Coturnix japonica: one gene and its partners. The protein of the gene in region 3 interacts with the protein of the main gene of each other region in a pairwise test. Links are inferred from orthologs where the notes say so. Each region holds a gene or a part of one and is shown on either strand. Other genes may lie near its edges. The genes, in order: BCAR3, CAPN3 and OSGIN1.

Evidence for each region.
Region 1: the proteins of OSGIN1 (region 3) and BCAR3 interact in binary tests that used the Homo sapiens proteins (3 or more experiments, as listed by UniProt). The link is inferred for Coturnix japonica from reciprocal best matches to the Homo sapiens genes OSGIN1 and BCAR3.
Region 2: the proteins of OSGIN1 (region 3) and CAPN3 interact in binary tests that used the Homo sapiens proteins (3 or more experiments, as listed by UniProt). The two-hybrid records come from large-scale screens. The link is inferred for Coturnix japonica from reciprocal best matches to the Homo sapiens genes OSGIN1 and CAPN3.

What each region holds. Positions count from the first base shown.
Region 1 is NC_029523.1:12,007,990-12,011,233, reverse strand, and holds the end of BCAR3 (breast cancer anti-estrogen resistance protein 3), read right to left. Parts: intron 2,505-3,244; coding exon 2,295-2,504; intron 1,626-2,294; coding exon 1,438-1,625; 3' UTR 538-1,437; downstream 1-537. UniProt on the Homo sapiens protein: Acts as an adapter protein downstream of several growth factor receptors to promote cell proliferation, migration, and redistribution of actin fibers.
Region 2 is NC_029520.1:22,999,376-23,002,583, forward strand, and holds the end of CAPN3 (calpain-3), read left to right. Parts: intron 1-555; exon of another isoform or gene 556-574; coding exon 575-643; exon of another isoform or gene 644-812; intron 813-1,161; coding exon 1,162-1,240; intron 1,241-1,746; coding exon 1,747-1,863; intron 1,864-2,230; coding exon 2,231-2,289; intron 2,290-2,404; coding exon 2,405-2,431; 3' UTR 2,432-2,678; downstream 2,679-3,208. UniProt on the Homo sapiens protein: Calcium-regulated non-lysosomal thiol-protease. Proteolytically cleaves CTBP1 at 'His-409'. Mediates, with UTP25, the proteasome-independent degradation of p53/TP53.
Region 3 is NC_029526.1:103,835-107,492, reverse strand, and holds part of OSGIN1 (oxidative stress-induced growth inhibitor 1), read right to left. Parts: intron 3,003-3,658; coding exon 2,866-3,002; intron 2,515-2,865; coding exon 2,323-2,514; intron 1,990-2,322; coding exon 1,898-1,989; intron 1,350-1,897; coding exon 359-1,349; 3' UTR 1-358. UniProt on the Homo sapiens protein: Monooxygenase catalytic activity. Involved in regulation of cytokinesis; promotes RHOA activity, probably acting locally at the midbody in late cytokinesis.

The DNA of each region.
Region 1 (3,244 bases), on a different chromosome or scaffold from region 3:
TTGCTTCCCTTGAAGGCAGGTTGCTTTCAGTAGGGATAGCGCAACTTGTGGGAGGGTTATTAAGCATAGGAAAAAATGCATCTGTCCTTGCATAGCTAGTTATAAATCACTTATTCTGAAATTCTGAATGTGAGTTGTCTAAAAGACTTGCCTTTTCCAGTAATTCTTAATCTTCTTTTTGTGCACAATGTTGATTTCCTAAATGTTAAATGCTTTGTTTAAAGTTAGTGTTCTCTGTTGAGAATATTTTCATGGAATAAAAAATCTTTTCATGGTTTAAAAAATTAGCTTCAACCTTTTTCTTAAGATTGACAGGGAGACTTGGCAGCACGATGACGTAAACAGGAGCTCTGTTACCTCGCGGTGTGGTTGTAGAACCTCTGCAATGATTGTAGATGGAGGGGAAGTGATTGCTACCATCCTGGTACTGGTTGGTTTGCTCATTTGCCTTCTTACCCTATTCCAGTTCTTTTGAACGCTGTAACATTCCACTCCAGAAACAGGCTTATTTACAGTGAACAAATGCAACTCTGTAACTAGAATTCTTGTCTAAGTATTTATACCATCTCTGAGAATGCTTATACATCACATCTGTACATGTACATGACAATATAAAGAATGCTTCAGCAGCAGATACTATATTAACACTGTGCACTGATTATCTACGAAAAGTACTGACAAGTAACTCTTCATCCAAGAAAAAAAAATACAAGTACTGGTTATTGTGATCCACCTCAGAATGCAAAGTAAGTTTTAATATATACATGCACTCACCTTTACTCGTATATGAAAGCATTTTAATTATCTAGGTTGTTTGTTCTTGCCATTTCATCATTCATTTGGTGGCAGCAGAGCTGTCCAGCCTCCAGCAAAAGTTAAAGTGCTACACATGCTGTCTGGAAAAAAAACTATGAACTGTCCCAACACATTCACAACTGATTTTCATTGCTAAAGTGAAATTTGAGCCTTCTTGCAGTCACAGATCATTTCTTCAACTATAATATGCAAATTATTTTGCATAAAGATATACTTTAATGCACAATTCTGTACATAGTGTTTTATACCCAGTTAAGGAGTATTATACAACCCATATAGTTAATCTGTCACTTTATTTACACTATTTGCTTCATTTAAATATAATTATGATGCAAATGCCCCTATTCTTAGGCATTATCAAAATTTATAACCTTACAGAAATACAGAAAGCTACAGAAGTACTTTACAGTGATGACCTACCTGCATAAAGGGATCATTAAAAGTTGTAGTGACATAGGAAATAAATAATTTGCTGTAGAAGTCAGTAGTTCTAAAACAAGTGTGCATTGTGCAATTAGAAGTTCTAAACATCTCGTGAAATGCAAGAAGTTTGTGCAGTATCAAATTACTGAAAGCAAGCTACAGTTATTTCAAGTGTATCTCTTCATAGTGTTTACAGTCTTAGATACTTAATTGTTCCACCTGCTTCACTGGAGGAGGTTCCAGTTTTCGGGAAAGTGCAGATAAAATCTGGCTGAACTTCTCGTATCTTTCGCTCTGATTAACTTCTGCTCCTTTGCTGCCCCAGAGCAATCTCATTTGAAATTCTGTCTTGAAGATTTCACTCATCTCTTCATCAGGCTGAAAACCTATAGCGAGTAAAAAGAATCCCACAGCATCACCATCGAGCAAGTTTTTTACTTGGAAGAATTGCCTCTCAAATTGCATTCCCTGCAAATTAACAAGAAGCTTTAGTCCTGCTCTGTTTCTTTGCACAATTGTTCTAACGAGCTAGAAAAACAATGACAAATTTCAGCGTGTTACATTCTAGTAGCACTGGGATGGCTGCAGGTATGCTGGGATAAGCTCTCCTTTGCTCAATTCAATTGTGAGTACAGTCATATGAAACTAATTAATTACTGATGTGTACTTTTCTTCCCCCTCTCAACTTTTTCACTGCAATCTTAAATTATGAAAGTCACATTACTAACAAACTGCTCCTTTCTAGCTGCAAGCAGTCAAGAGCTTTGTTTTGCATCTTAGTCTCCTGGTAAAGAATCTCACTACAGTAGATGGCGTTTTATTTCCAAAACTCAGTGCACATTTTAATTGTACAGGAAGCAATGAGTTTTCCTTGATTCTTCCTGTACTTACATTCAGCTAGCGAGTTTCCTGCAGGACCTTTTCTTCTATATCAGCTCCCATGAAAGCTGAGAATAATTTATTGCAGTGACTGCTCCTTTCACTTAAGATCCTTTTTTTCTGACATAATGCACAAGTTCTGTTAATATGCAGTTTCTCCTGCAGATGCTCCCTACCTTCCAGCATCCGTTGTGCAGTCAAGCTGTACAGTTCTGCATTCTGTGCTATCTGACGAGCTGCGGTCAAGTGCTTGAACATTATTTCACAGCTTTGGTCAGTGCTTTCCCACAGATCCATCCCTTCAAAAATGACAGCTTGTCGCTCCATCAAGGTAACAAGAGGCATCAGCAGTGGCAGTGTTAGGTTCTGTGGAATGCTGACCATCTCTAGAACAGAGGAGAACAAATCACATCATTCAGTTAACATTTTCATGTCTAAGTATTGTAAATGCAGTATTATTTTTTCTAAATCAGAAACTGGCATTTGTCTTGAATCTTATAAAAGTAGCATCTCACCTCTGATATATTCTGTCCTGCCAGTTTCTAGTAAGTTGCTTGGCCTGGGGGAAAGGGCCAAGATAAGATAAACCACAGCAAGTACTGTGGGACTAAAAAGTTTGCTATCTCTGCTTGTTCTCTTAGCCACAGATGTACGGAGAAACGTCTCTCTCCCTTGCACCCCTATGGAGATCAGAGCTGCTAAGAGCACCTGATGGAGCCATCAAAGCAATTATGTGGCTCTTACCCAATCTTTATATTCCAAAATTCATCCCCTGATCCAGTAGGCAAAGCACACAGAAAACAGATCTGCCCAAAGTAACTTTCCTTGTAGAGTGAGAGGGAGATTTCTATTCTCTGAGCCAAGATTTTGCACAGTTATTCACTCTATTGGTTTCTGCTCTGCATTTTCCATAAAGAAAGAGGAGGGGCTGAGCAGACAATGTTATATTTTGCATGGATGCACACATACAATCACATACATACTCATGTTTTGCTTGCACACTGCTTCACTGTTTTATTGCTTTACGTAGCCATTTTAAATGTATGATACACAGCTGTCAAAACAGCAGCTTATCTCCTTCCACAGGCAAGTGGCAGTGGTAGAGTTAAAAAGCCAAACCAAACAG
Region 2 (3,208 bases), on a different chromosome or scaffold from region 3:
ATCACCCAGTCTTCCTACCTGAATAGGAAAACATGTATGTTTCCATATGGTTCCATAACATATGATTTATGAACATTTGAACCAGACCAGACCCAACTTCTAATTACAGCCTAGAACCATAATGATTAGATGCTGAACACAGTTCAGTAAATTATTTTAGCCAACATTTTGCTTGATTCTTAACTCATTATAGCAAGGCAGAAAAAACTTCATTCCAAGATAAAGCTCAGTTATCTTAAGCAGTTCCAGGGGAACTTCACCAGTGGGGGCACTTGGAAAAAGCCACTAAAACACTCTGTGTTATGTACATTATAACAGCTCCAGGAGCAAGTCACCTGCCTGTACTAGTGATTTATTACTACAAAAGGAAACAGTGCTTCATAATCCCAAAACAAAATAACACTCTTAATAACCAAAGTGCTCACCAACACTTTACTACACCATTCAGTCTCCTCTCAGCACTCAGGCATCCTGAACTGAGTTTCATACTCATCCCCCCCTCACAGGCACACATAGAAATAATTAGTTTTCTATTTAAAATATTGGGTTTTTTACCTGAATACTTGCATCACAGACAGACGGCTCAGGAAAGATCAACTTTGATGAGTTCCGGCACCTCTGGGACAAGATCAAAAGCTGGCAGGTAGTGCTGCTCTTCAGGGCTCCACAGCGCAAAGGCTTGTGTAGGGATACCAGACCTCATTGCGTCCCCTGCAATCAAAAAAGCTCCCAAAATTGCAAACTAGCTTTTAACATGAAAACTAATATCTTCCTTCAGCCTTTTCTTAGCCTAAGCAAACACCTAGAGCTACAGCATTCATGTGAGGAGATCCCCTTGGGAAGGGGGGAGGTACATAAGATGGAGGAGGAGGAGGATGGGAAATAGAGCCAGGCATTGCAATAGCTTAATTAGGGCAATTAAGAGAGAATTAACAGCATAAACTCAAGTCAAATGAGGAGGGTCTCCAGAGGGAAGAGTTTTTTCTTCTCACAGCACAGATCTAATTCATGTGTCAGGAATGAGGGGGAGCTGTGTGTGAACAACACTGACTACAAAGCAGCAGCCACAGGTGATATAAGGCAAATGGCAAAGCTCACATCAGCAGGTGTGTCCTATGAAAGCATAAACTTTGACATCTGCTGTGTACTTCTTTTTTGCAGAAAATCTTCAAGCGTTACGATTCAGACCATTCAGGAACCATTAACAGCTATGAGATGCGCAATGCAGTCAATGATGCAGGTAATTCCCTCAGTGTCCAATGCCCAAGAGCCAAATAAACCTTATTTTGATTGATGTATCACAGGGTGAGGTCAGGAATACAGCCCAGCCTTCTAAGGATGGGTCCTAGAGAAATGTTAATTTTTGGGGTTGTATTTTTTTTGCTAGCAGAAGCTCTCATATATCCAAAGTGCAAGGCTTGTGTGTCTCACCAACTAAGCAGATCGTTGAACTTCTCAGTGAATAATGCATGGCATCTCAGTCTCATAAATGATCAAAATCAAATAAGTACTAAGCCAGTGCCCACACTTGCCCAGTTTTACCCTTTTCACTTGAGCAGAGTTTGTGTAATGTTTGTGCAACTGTACTAAGAGCACACGGGATGTGCATCAGGGAGCTCAGATGTGTGCAGGCTAATCTCCAATGATGCAGTCACCCACCAAAATTACCTACTTGCTCTCATTTAAGCTGTGGGTTCTTTATTGTTGTATAATGAACAATCAAACCCATTTCTGGTCCCCCCTCAGGGTTTCGGCTGAACAACCAGCTCTACGACATCATCACAATGCGATATGCTGACAAGAACATGAACATCGACTTTGACAGCTTCATCTGCTGCTTTGTGAGACTGGACGCTATGTTCAGTGAGTGGCTGCCCTCATTTTACAGGCTTGCCCCTTCCCCTGCCTGAAAACACACTGATATTTAAAGGAGAGTTTATTATACATAGCACTATTGCCTACACATAGTTTTAATAGTGTAAGATATGTGCTAATTTATGACAGCCATCCCACACAAACACAAAAGATAATAAGCCATTACATATCTTCTTGTATTAGCTGTGAAAAAGCATAGCAGAAATATGTGCTGACCAAAAAAGTAAACACGCACATATATTTGGATAACACAGTGGGAACATGATTTGGTTTGCTGCATGGGATCATCTTTACGCTTTGCTTGTACAATAATTTATCCTATGGTTTTTTTGGTTTTTTTTTGTCATTGATTTAGGGGCATTCCATGCCTTCGATAAAGATGGAGATGGAATCATAAAGCTCAACGTCCTGGAGGTAAACTACTTTGTGCCAGTATTTCTAACACAACATCCCAGTACTACATTATTAATTCCCAGCACAGTCTCACGTGTTCAGGTTGGTCTGATCTTTAACTCCTTCTCTTCCTTAGTGGCTGCAGCTCACCATGTACGCCTAATACCGGAGCCTTCATCAAGGACCCGCTCCAGGTTGCTGTTTGAAGTAATGAACTCCATCCATCCCCAATTACAAACGAGTATTTTGCAAGATACGTGATTTTGCTCACCAAGATAAAATGTGCGTGAAAGAATAAAAAGACAGCTGTGCTCCAGCAAGCAAATCGGCGCTCATTCCCTGTACCTACTTATGTAGTATCTCCGGGACATTTACTTTCAACAGCAAGGACTGATTTATTGATGACTGCATTTAGGTCTCTCTGCATGTTTAAAACACAGAGCACGCATTGTTACTGTTTATACTGACACTTGGAAGCGCCATCCCTGAAGTCAGTACAGATCAGGCAAAACTGAGTCTGGATCTGGATCTGAACTGTGGAAGTCAGAGGTGTCTCCTACCACCCTGCAATCAGTCTTTGTTAATAATTTATTTTAAGAGGTGTTTTAGCAGAATCGTACATACTTTACCCCAGTGCTGCCACTTTAGGAAGATTATTAGCATACTTATTGATTAATAATAATAATTATGCTAATAATTATTAATTATTAGCATAATTAATTGAAAATAAATCAACTGAGTTTTAATGTTGACCTTTAGGGTGTAATTTCTGAAGGAACAAAGGGGAATGAATGCTGAGCACCGTCCCACCATTCTTCAGGATCTAGAGCAGCTGGTATAGTTTTATCACAAGCATGAAATCAGCATGAGACTTCAAACGTCAGCTAACTTCAAATGCACTGGCAAAGCATGTGAGCTTGACAGGCTTCCAGAACTGGTC
Region 3 (3,658 bases):
GGTCTGGAAGTAATTTACATTGATTATTCCTCATTTCAACTTTCAGAAACCTGGGAGGTGTTAACACAAAAGAGCATTCACTACCTTACCCTCCACTTCTCCAGGAGGAAGGTTCAGTGCCCCTGCTGCCTGCATACACAGCCATGTAGAAAAGGAGCAGAATACCCTGGGAATGAAGTTACTGCCATGAATGAAACTCTGGTGATGTAACCTTTCCAAATAACTCAGCAAGAACTTAGTAACTGCATAATCCTGAAGAATGGCAAGAGTAGCCTTCTCATTTAAATACGTGCATATCAAATTCTCTGACATCAGCAGTAACCCATTCAGACATTGTTAGCATAGGTGGCTTTTGTTGTTATGGAGGATTTTTGTTTGCTTTCCTTAAGAGAGAGCTGGCAGCAGCCAGAGCCCCTCCCTGTACAAAGCGTACAAAGTTATCTCCAGCTAGAGGCCCTAGAGCATAAAGCCCTTTCTCCTGAGTACATTCATAAGTGAATGGGTCAACATCTATGGGATTCCTCTTGGGATTGACTGGTTGGTCACTGTCCATCGCCAAGTCAATGCCATTATTCAGCAGAAAGGAGAGGTTGGGATTTGAACCAGTTAGAACAAGAGCCATGGAAATTTTAAAAGCTTTCTGGCAGCCGTTTTTGTCTTGAAGGATACATTTCTTGTCCTTGCCAAAAGATAGAACATGGTGCTCAGGCAGGCTAACGTAGCACTCATAGGGCCCAGCACAAGCAGCTGACTGTTCCTTCATCATCTGATGGACTTTGTGGTATTCAGGGTACATCATTTTGGGTAGCTGGTTAAAAATAAGACCTGGATCGCTGACTCGTCTCCGAAAAACATGAATTACTGGAATACTGCAGTGGTGAGCAAAGAGAATCGCATCAGCAGCTGTCAAACCAGCACCTACAATCAAAACTGGATCTGATGTGATACCAATACTGTTGTTTTTCACTGCTTCCTCTAGGGCAGAGAGCTGGTGATGGACATAGGAAAGGTTCTCTCCCTTGACCCTGAGCCAAGTGGGACTATCATACGTTCCTGTAGCTAAGACCACATTCTCTGCATAGACAGTGAAGGGCTCCTTGTCACCTTTGACAGTTTTGACAAATCCATCCACCTGAAAGACCTCCATATTCTCCTCACTGAAGTTCCAGAGCAAGTCACTCTTCTGTAGATCTTTCTGTGCGTGGTTGGAGATGCTCTTTGCACTTACTTTCCTCACAGAGGTTACAACAGTCCCACATCTAAAGTTCTTCTGCAGCCCTTTCTTCACTACATAATGCTGGTAGTATTGAGCAATGTCTTCTGCTGTGGCTCTATGGTTTCTGAGGCCCCTGCAATATATTACAAAGGTCAAGCAGCAGTTAAGTAAGAGCCTGGAATTTCTTACTTCTTCCACTGAATGTATCCTAGAGCTATCTAATCCGTCACTACTACAGGAGGCTTATCTATTTTCCCTGACTTTAGCTAAGTTATTCCCAGTATACAGAGCTGGTAATCAGATTTGGAAGCTGCTGGACAGAGGAAAATTTTTAATACAAATTCCATCCCTAAGAACATGGTCACTCATTCACTCTTTTCTCACATGTATCTCACTGCTATTCCACTTTCAATTACTAGACTCTAAGGCTTCAACAGTTACAGAGTAGAAGCATCTGAGAAGCTGTGGAGTATCTCAGATTATTGTATTTATCATTAGGGTCAGTAGCAGTAGCTGTAGAAGTCAGACAGTTCAGAAGAACTCATAGTCTGAATACTCTGAGTGACCTTTCAGAAGAATCACCCACTAAAGATAGGCAGCTGCATTCAAGAAGTCCAGCCCACTCCAAGTTCCCAAATAACATATGGATGCTTGCAAGAAATCAGACCATGAGTATCTCACCTTTTCTTTTGCTTTAGCCAGTCCTTGAACTGGAGATCTGGGAGTCCCATCCATTCCCCTCTGCTCAGGGTAATCATGGAGCCCTCAATAGACTGGAGCAAGAAACAGTTAAAGGGCATTCAGTTATTTAATGTAAGAAGCTAAGTGTAACTCAAGTTTCAGTATATCTCACAACAGAAGAAGCCAATGATTTCATTAGATGCATTGGCATGGATGAAACCCCCCATTTTCTCCAAAAAGAACAATTAACTGGAAATATAAATGCCAGTCCTGTTCACCCTTTTAAAGCTCTTACACCTCTTTGTACATGCAAAATCAAGCATGTGTGAGTAGCACACTGGAGTACCTTCAACTCTCCAGTCAATGCATTTGGCTATTTTATAAAATACAGTTGTAAGCAGTTAGTTAGGTTTTGGTTCACATACATGCCAGGCACCTCCTGGAGGGTTCTTGCCAAGGACCAGGTGGGAGATGGCTCTTTCAGTCTCGTGCCTCCAAGTGAGCACAGATTCTGCACTCACACCAAAGTCTGTATCAGGTCGCAGAAGGGTATCAAGCAGAAGAGCCACAGGGCTGTTGGATCTTCCCTCTAAACCTTCAGACAGATACTCCAGATCCTAAAGAGAGATAGATCAGATGCTGTGAATGCGTGTCCTGTCAGGCTGCAGACTGTTTATAACTGCTATACTTCCAGACACTGTTTTTGGAGTTTTGTGAAGTTCATTTAATTGCATACAGCCCCTGTTACTGTTTGAGAACTTTCTTGAGGATCTTAGCAGTGCTGGCACTTCACACAAGGGAAATTTGGACAACTAGAATGCTTTGCTTAAGACTCATTCTGTCTGAGTGTGTTCTACACACTCTGAAAATTCAGATGAATACATCACTTATAATAAACCCCCCGAGCGCCTCACTATGTTGATAAACTAACATCTTCTGCTAACAAAGTCATTTTTCTTTATACAAACCTGGTCCAAAATGGACACATCTGCTGCCTCTTCTAGTTTACTTTGAAGAATGGGATGAGGATGAAGAGAGTGTCTTTTGAAGTAAGGTGTGTAGCCTGTCAGCAAATATGAGAGGCAGATTCCAGAAGGTCCATTCCCTGAAGAGACACAATGGAGATGTTTTTTTTTTTACTCCTGCAGACAGTACAGCCCTTTAAGAAGTGTTTTAAGCATCTTGACCAAACCAAAGGTTAAGATGCACACTTCAGACACAATCCTTTGTATTTTCAAGCTACAGATAACCCATCAGACACAGCTGGGGAAGTCTTTCTGCCCTCACATATCCCCTTCTGCTCCCCAGCCTCACCTGAAGCTTAAAGTCTCTGGCCTGCTGACAAACTCAGTCACTGCTCATCAGCTTTAAAGATCTGGAAGCTGGTCGCTTACTGGAATCAGCCCCAGTCTGTACTGCAGGCAGTGCGTTAAGGAAAAAAGCCTGCTGTGCCAAGAGTGCCTCAGAATATAGTACTTCTGACTGGCTGCAGGATATCTGACCTCCTCCTGCAGACAGTGGAAAGACTGCAACTGCAGAGCCCAGCAAGAGCAGCCTATGGAAACTTTTCACATGGCCGTCCTCCAGCACGTTTAATATTTCACAGTGCCTGGATGACAAGCCGTCAGCCTCTGGCTCACAGCTGCTCACAACGGAGTGACTAACAAGCATTACATAATGCAGTAATGATGGAGGGGAGGGGAGCTGAAGTGACACAGCAGCCTGCAGTGGGTCATGTTGACACAGTGCCCATGCTGTGTG